2 linked regions of the Ovis aries genome follow. Each later gene encodes a partner of the first gene's protein in a complex. Links are inferred from orthologs where the notes say so. Each region holds a gene or a part of one and is shown in the gene's direction. Other genes may lie near its edges.

Region 1 (4,395 bases):
CAGTTTGTATGTTTTGCCACTAAACTGTAAACCCGGCAGTGGAGAGAACTTGTTCATTTTGTGCCTACTGAATATTAATGGTCAGCATAGTCCCTGCCCTAATAGAATGGGTGAGCAATTCTTATTTGCCAAATGAATGAAAAGCTTAAATTCCATTGCCCAGGCTGGTCTAACACCACTCTATGTTATCTTCTGAAGCAATCAGACATCCTTTCTTAGGAAAAATGTTATTTCAGTCACCTATAAGTGAATCCATATGGTTTATCAGAAGATAAACCAGAAGAGAAAAAAGCTATTAATATTATAGGTTTCCTAGGTGGGGGGAGGTCCCAGACCAACACCTAGGAACTGGGTAGAAATGCAAATTACTAGGCCCCACTCCAGACCACCTAATCAGAGAACTCAAGGGATGTAGTCCAGCATTCTGTGCTTTAACAAGCCTTCCACGGAATTCTGATGCACACTTTGAGAAGTTTAAATGTCACTGTTCTAGGCTTTCTAGTTTTTTTTTTTTAATTAAAAAGTTTGGTCCTTAATCCGTCGTTTCATCCTGCAAGTAGAATAGTACAACCTAAAACTACCCCGGAGAGTACTTTTTTCTCCTCATTCAAAGCCACCAAAGGCTTACATTCCTGTGAGGTGTGCCTTCCTCGTGGGCACAGGCCTGCCCTCCGGGTGGCCTACAATCTAACCCTTGCAGTAACACTTGTAATGTGCCACGTTGTAACAATGCGTAAGTGTAACTGAAGAAAACAAAACAAAACAAAACAGTACCAAGGCAGAGGAGCCACGGTGCAAGCCTTTGTTCCTCTCTCCTCCAACGGCTCACCCTCCGTCTGATATAGCTCTTTTCCAACCAGAAAAGGAGCCGCTCAAGATATAAAATCGGATGGGTGCCGCTGACAAGGTTTTCAATTAGGCCGTTTTCGTCGGAGCACCGGAAGATAGTTGTGGCTGTGGAATGCGATTCCATTGCTTCCTCAACCTAGCGCAGAAGTACTTGCAACGAAAAACCCCTTCCAGCTTCAGAAGGAGAACTGGAGACTCGGGCAGACCTACCCAACCCTACCTGGAGAACACCCGAAGTGGACTACCTCACCTTCGGAATGGGAGCGGCAGCCGGCGGCGCTCCTCAGTGCGCATGCTCTCTCGCCCCGCCCGCTCGGAGCCGGAAGGGGGAGCGCTCGAGGCCTAGGCCTGTCCTGGCCGGGGCGTCGGCACTGGCGGCCATCTTGGCTTCCCGGGGAAAGGCGGTGTGAGGGGAAGAAGTTGTAGGGTGGGGGCAGGAGTGAGGAGGAGGGGAGAGAGAGGGGGAGGAGGCCGCGGCGGGGCAGGGCGGGGACTGCCTGCCTGCCCGGGTTGCGGAAGTGGTAGCCGCTGACCGAGCCTGCTTCTCTCTCGCTACTGCTTCGGCTTCCCGGCTCCCCCCCAGACGGAGAGGGTGGCCCGGCCGTGGATGGTCAGATAGCTTCCACCTCCCGCCGCCCATCCCTGGCCCCAAACGGCACGGAGCAGACGGCGGCAGCAGCAGCAGCAGGCGAGGAGGAAGATGGCGGGACGGCTGCCGGCCTGTGTGGTGGACTGTGGCACGGGGTAAGGGGGCTGATGGGCGGGGGTGGGGAAACTGAGGCGGAGGCAGGAAAATGGCGGGGCCGGGAGGAGGCCGGGAGATGAATGGAGCGGCAAGGTGCTGCCGCCGGCTGTGTCAGCCCGGGCCGCGCCGGGTGGCGAGGGGTGGGGCCCGCAGTCAGGGCCTCCCTCATCCCCCGCGCTGCACCCTCTGGGAGCCGGGCGGCGGCGCGGGGCCCAGAAACCCCGGGGAGCGGCTTCCTCCGCGCCACCCCTCCCGGCCCTTCCCCCACCGCGGTGGGCAGCGCCGCCCGAGGGGCTGCGGGGACGGGCGCCTCCCCGGGGCCCGCGGTCGCGTGGGGGTGGTCTTCGAGCCCCGCACAGCCGACCCTCCTTTGCCCGGTGCCCTTTCCTGCCCGTAGGTTTGGAGACCGGGGGGAATGGAGCGCGGGGACTGGCCGGGCAAAGGAGCGAGAAAAGAGAAGCGCTCCTTGTAGGTTTTGCAAGATTGCTGTGACAACATTCTACCCGGGGTGTGGGAGGGGAAAGGGAAGAATCGGACCCTGAAAATGGGAACCTAGATCGGGGCTTTCATTGGACCACCCACCTCCTCTTCCTTTTCGACTCCCGGTCTTTTCCATCTCCCACTACGTTCCTACCGGCCAACCAACTCACATTTTAATTTGAGAGAAAGATGTCATGTGTTACTTCTCTTGCCTCAAAAAAGTCCCCCAGTGAGCAAGCGCGCTGCAACTTCCTTAGTTTTGTCAAAGCCGCTTCCTGCTTTCAGTCTTTTATACCCTTATAAGGTAGTTTTTCGTTTCCAACCTGAACACATCTTATTAGAACTTTCAAAATCAAGCAGTTTTCAAATAGGCTGAGGTACTGGTGCTAGGTATGAATTTCTGTGAACTTAAAAAGTATATTTGCGTTGCACTGAGAGGAAGGAAGTGAAGCACCCAGGAAAATTAAGTTGTATAGGTTCATTCTGTGACCGTGTCTTAAGGAGAGAAGGAAGGTAATAGAGTTGTAAAGGGAGGTACTTGCTTTTCAAGGAGTTATTATGGATCTGCAGTGTAGTTTACTAAAGTATATAACGGTGTGGAAGTGGTCGTTCCTTTTGTATTAATAGGCGTTTATAGCACACTTTATACTATCGTAGAAAATATTGCCTGTGTTTTAATGCAGAGTGACTGCTTTATGTTTCACTATTGGAAGTGTTTTCTTGTGCTTGTGAATGCTGTGCTGATACATGATTACTTCTCCAATTCCCCCAATTTTGGACGGAGTTATGAGAAGTAGATTGTCAGCCTTTCCCTTCCCTTTTTACTCTTTAGCGAACTATTGTTACTTAAAGGATGGTATACTCCTCACTCAGTTTGTTCTGTGTGAAATTTCTCTATAATCCTCATGATCATACCTTTATGAAAGTGTGGCAGTTTGTAAAATCCCAGCCGTGCAGAAGGAAATAACCGATTTATTAATATAATAATAAACCAGTGTTGTTTAGCCATGAAACTTCTATGTAGATTTTTGATGGATAGGTGATTATTTTTCTTAATCCAGTTTTATTTGCTTGAATCAGTATTTTTTTTTCCCGCCTTCCTTCTTAGTCCAGTTGGGGAGTAGTTTTATGTTTAGGGTCAGTTTTAAAATTAGATTTGGCAGCTTGACTGAGAAAGAATTTTCAAGTATGTTTTGTTACAGTGAAAAATATTGCTACATAGTTAATATTCTATGCTTTAGTAATTATTGCCTTGTCGATAAAATTAGTGTAGATAATTGTTGCCCTAATGGTAATATCTTAGGTAAGGTGTTAACTTTTTCTCATTTAATTTTTTCCCTTTTGAAATCTTGATTACGTTTGAATTAGTATGCTGGGTATTTCTTTGAGGTTAACTATCCTTAAGTGTCTTTCTGATAGGGCAGCTTTGAATTTAAAACACAGACTGAGTTACCATGAGGTGTGGGGGAGGGGGTTCAGTCTGTACTTAGGATGCTGCCCAGTCTTGGTTGTTGAGCTGTGTCCGACTCCTTGCGGCCGGGTGGACTGTAGCCTGCCAGGATCCTCTGCCCATGGAATTTTCCAGACAAGAATACTGGAGTGAGTTGCCGTTTTCTACTCCAGGGGATTTTCCCCACCCAGGAATCGAACCTGTGTCTCCTGCATTGGTAGACAGATTCTTTACCAGTGAGCCACCTGGGAAGCCCCTTGTACTTAGGATATTTTTGCTTTAATGATCAGTTATTAATTATATTACTACATTAGTTTTATCTCATAGGGAGAGGTTGTGTTAGCTGGACAGTCATGATTTAAATGAAACTGATCTAAGAATTCTTCTTACTTTCTTTTACCATCTGTCACTGTCTGAAATTCCACCTTTAGAGATCCGTTTATTTATTTGTTTATTTTTAATTTGATTGCCCATGCGGAATGTGAGATGTTAGTTCCCTGAGCAGGGATCGAACTCTTGCTCCCTGCTTTGGAAACTCAGAGTGTTAACCACCAGGGAAGTTCCAGATATATACTTATTGTGGTTTTCAGAAGGCATTTTGGTCTTTGTTGTTGCCTATTAGTACAAATCCTGGAAAGTTACACCTTCAACTTTAATAGCATATAGAAGATAGCTCATTGAAATTGGACCTTTGATAAACACATGTAAATAAGCCCTTAATAGAGAGTTTTATGTTCCAGAGTACTGTAGTTTTCCAGATGCAAATTATGCACCTACAATGTGTGTGTTCTTTTGTACTTTAGAGAATGCATTCATCAACCATAATTACCCATTTACATAAGTGAAAAATTATAGTGAGTTCAGGTACTTA
Region 2 (3,810 bases), on another chromosome or scaffold:
GAAGTTCAGAAAATTGGGTCTCAGTGGGTTGACAGGACAAAACTCAGGGGAGAAGCTACTCTGGAGCCAAGATTTGCTTGACACAAGTTGTGACTTTTCAACATAGGGCCATTTGGGAAATATCTCCCAAGGAGGTAGTGAACCCTCTAGCAATTTAAGGAGAAGACTTGAGAACTGAATTATCTGAGATGCCATCTCTGCTCTTCTCAAATTTGAAGATCAAGGATCCCTCCCCTCAAAAAACAAATAAACAACTGGACTCCCATCCCCTACTACAAATATTCTATACTTTGGATTATTTTATCTGATTTTTGTTTTGTAAAAAAGTTTTTCTTTTTCCCCTTTGATGTTTAATCTGGTACATATACAACTGAGATAAGGATTGTTACCACAGTAAATTGATACGATTTGAATGTAAGAAAGCTGACATCATGTTAAAATGTGCCCTGTTATGCTACTTAATGTATATGGTTTCCACTAGGCATTTTAAAGGATAATAGCTCACAGACACCAACAATACAATTAACTACCGTCTGAGGGATCCAGAGGCATCAAAATGGGAACTGAGTTGAGAGGGGTCATAATTTTGATTATTAAAGGAGGCCAAACTGTTTGATTTTAGCTTGGCCTTATCTCTAAGGCAGGCTCTCATTCCCTAAACAGTATATGGGTTTCCCTATAGTTATGAAAATAGGAGTTGTCATTTGTAAAGCTCCTACAATGTGCCAGCTCACTGTTACACACTTGACCCTTGTTGATCTGTTTCCAAATGAGGAAGTTGAAATTCCAACAGGGTAACTTGCCCAATGGAAGTAACAAAGGAGGCTGAATTTCAGAACCTTTCACCCTGACTCCAGAGCCTGTGCTCTTTCTGCTGGAGAACATGCTCTCTGGCCCCCATCTTGGAGCACCCCTGCTTGTGAGTCTCATTCCTTGGACTCTGTGGTCCCAGATTGTGATTCTAGAACCTGCCGTGGAGCCTCCCTGACCATTCTGTTCTTTTATAGTACCTCTGTCATTTTGTGTTCTCAGGAGTAGCAAAGAGCTCCTGCTACAACCCGTGACCATCAGCAGGAATGAAAAGGAAAAGGTTCTGATTGAAGGTTCCATCAACTCTGTCAGGGTCAGCATTGCTGTGAAACAGGTGAGCTCACCCCAGATCCCCTGCCTCCCCGGGGAGGCCAGGGATCCCCTATGTAAGAGGTCAACATGCCAGATTCAGGGTGCAAAGAAACCCAGGTTCTCTTTCCAGGAAATGATTTGCTAAACCTACCAGATCAGTAGAATAAAGGGAAATCAGCCTTCTCTCCTAGGCTTGCTCTGGATTAGACAGCAGGTAATGTAGCAGCCAGGGCTGTGGGCCAGTTTGGTGTCAGGTCATAAAACTCTTCCTAATGAGTGAAGAATAAGTTCAGTTCAGACAAACAAGTAGTAATGGTATCAGTTTGATAGCCATAAACTCCAAAAGTGAGATTTAGGGTAAGAAAATGAAGTGTAGTTTCATGTTTCTTCATTGTTTCACAAATGTCTGACATTCCCACTACCCCCATCGTTTCTTCCATGTTTATGGACCACTTGGCTACTTCTTTACTTAATATTTTCTTTCAATTAACTTTTTTTTTTTTTACTTAAATTTACCATAAAAAGAAAAACAATATGCCTTGCCAAATTGAGGACAACACTAAAATGCAAGCACATTGAAAATAAAGCAGAGTTAAGACTTTTGCCTCCAGAAAGCTCTATCCCTAGTGCCTGCTCTTTGTTAAAAGGGGAGATGAATAAATATTGGGGGCTGTTAAGGTCTTGCCAGCCCGTAATACAAAATTCTTTCATCAGAAATGTTGAGAGTTCATTAGGGGAAAACTTTGGGAATTGTTTGATGTTCATTGTTACTAAAGTGGAGACCATCTAAGGTTATCTGATATACTTCATAGTGTGTATCACTGACTGGAAGATGTAGCATTAGTGAAATGAGACTGGAAAGGGCAGATTTGAATCTAGATATGGATTCTGGAAGGATTGGATAAAAGATTGGGGCTTGCCAGGACTTCCCTAGTGGTTCAGTGGTTAAGATTCTGGGCTTCTACTACAGGGGACTTGGGTTTGATCCCTGGTCTGGGAACTAAGATCCTGCATGCCACACGATGTAGCCAAAATGTGTTTTGAAGTTAAAAAAAAATAAGATTTGGGTTTGTCAGAGTTACCTTTCTGGAATGGGTAAAGGCAAGATCATGATAATGCCCCATTAAGTTGGAGGGCTCTCATGTAGTGGACCTTCCTTTTAGCTGGCAACCAGTTATTTGTGATTCAGACTTCAATACCCAACCCCAGTGTCTCCAGCGAGCATAGGGGAATTTGGGCTCCGAAGACCAGGCTACAAATTTCTGTTGGCCTTTAGGGAATGACTTTAGGGAAACACATTTCTTCTTTGTTCTTACCAGGCTGATGAAATCGAGAAGATTCTGTGTCACAAGTTCATGCGCTTCATGATGATGCGAGCAGAGAACTTCTTTATCCTCCGAAGGAAACCAGTGGAGGTGTGTGATCCATGTGTTGGTAATACCCAGAATTCCACTACTGAGTCCACTGTCAGTGGCCTGGGATTGTTTCTAAAACTGGGATTGCTTGCTCCCCACGCTGTAGGGCACCCACAGCCTGAGTTGAGAGTTGGTCTTCATTTCGGCTAGAGTAAGAATAAGGGGAATCAGCTTATAGGAGGTTGAGTCTGTCTCAGCTGTGGAAAAGGCCAAAAAAGATGAGGTGCATTGCTGACCTTCCCAGAGCCTATAGTGTAGTGGCAGAAAGGGCATGATGAATCAGAATTCTAAACTTTGCCACCAATTGAGTCAGTCTCTCAAGGCCACAGTTGATATGGGGTCACTTGTTGCCTGACTTTGTACTTGAGCTCTCACTACAGATTCTCTGCCTGCTCAACTCCCTGCCGGTCAGTGACTAAGCAACTACCATGCAGAGCAGCGGACACCATTGTCAGACACATTAGTTGTTGGCCAAACTCACCCTCATCCTGAGCTAAAATCTCTCCTGTTCCTAGATCTAACCTCCAGGGCCACTAAGAATAAATAAAATTGCTCTTCTACACACAGTCTGAAAAAGTGAAAAACCATAGTTAAAAACCTCAATACCTCCTTCTCCCACAGCATCTTCATTTCTCTCTGGACTAAATGTTCCTGTTGTTTGATGAGATTCTTCTATAACAAGATTTAAAGTCCTTTCACTCTCCCTTGATTCATTCTGAACACAACTGTTTATACCACAGAGAGTCTGCCAGACAAAATTCTCAATTGGGATCAGTTGATCCACCTGTTAGTTCCTTGGAACCAGCATACACACCGCCACCAGAGCAGATGGGCTGCTGCCTGAAGGGTGTGTCACTTGGGAGAAGGTCAGCTGGAAGCATGTGGCTGAGTGACATAGAGGGCTGGCCAGTGAAGTTCCCCAGGATGTTGATTCTCTCTCTCCTCTCCACTGTCTTTCTTCCCTAGGGGTATGACATCAGCTTTCTGATCACCAACTTCCACACAGAGCAGATGTATAAGCACAAGTTGGTGGACTTTGTGATCCACTTCATGGAGGAAATTGACAAAGAAATTAGTGAGATGAAGCTGTCTGTCAATGCCCGTGCACGCATTGTGGCTGAGGAGTTCCTAAAAAATGTAAGTGGAGTGGCCTTCTTGGTTTCCTTTCAGAAGTAGAAAGACCTAAATAAAGGTTGTGCTGAGAACTTAGCATCTGTTGGGGAAATGGTGCCAACTGTGCGTAAATATTTTCTGAGGCCTCTAGGAACTCTGG

What was found.
Region 2: the proteins of ACTR3 (region 1) and ARPC4 are in contact, whole or in part, in a cryo-EM structure (PDB 6YW6), measured with the Homo sapiens proteins. The link is inferred for Ovis aries from reciprocal best matches to the Homo sapiens genes ACTR3 and ARPC4. Residues at the interface, in NP_005712.1 of Homo sapiens: Lys53, Gly54, Val55, Leu58, Glu121, Glu124, Tyr125, Glu128, Glu132, Tyr400, Glu401, Pro405, Arg409; in NP_005709.1 of Homo sapiens: Lys89, Arg92, Phe93, Met96, Arg97, Glu99, Asn100, Arg156, Ile159.

What each region holds. Positions count from the first base shown.
Region 1 is NC_056055.1:178,988,838-178,993,232, forward strand, and holds the start of ACTR3 (actin-related protein 3), read left to right. Parts: upstream 1-1,335; 5' UTR 1,336-1,549; coding exon 1,550-1,593; exon of another isoform or gene 1,594-2,305; intron 2,306-4,395. UniProt on the Homo sapiens protein: ATP-binding component of the Arp2/3 complex, a multiprotein complex that mediates actin polymerization upon stimulation by nucleation-promoting factor (NPF).
Region 2 is NC_056072.1:16,888,847-16,892,656, reverse strand, and holds part of ARPC4 (actin-related protein 2/3 complex subunit 4), read left to right. Parts: intron 1-1,032; coding exon 1,033-1,144; intron 1,145-2,441; coding exon 2,442-2,537; intron 2,538-3,503; coding exon 3,504-3,713; 3' UTR 3,714-3,810. UniProt on the Homo sapiens protein: Actin-binding component of the Arp2/3 complex, a multiprotein complex that mediates actin polymerization upon stimulation by nucleation-promoting factor (NPF).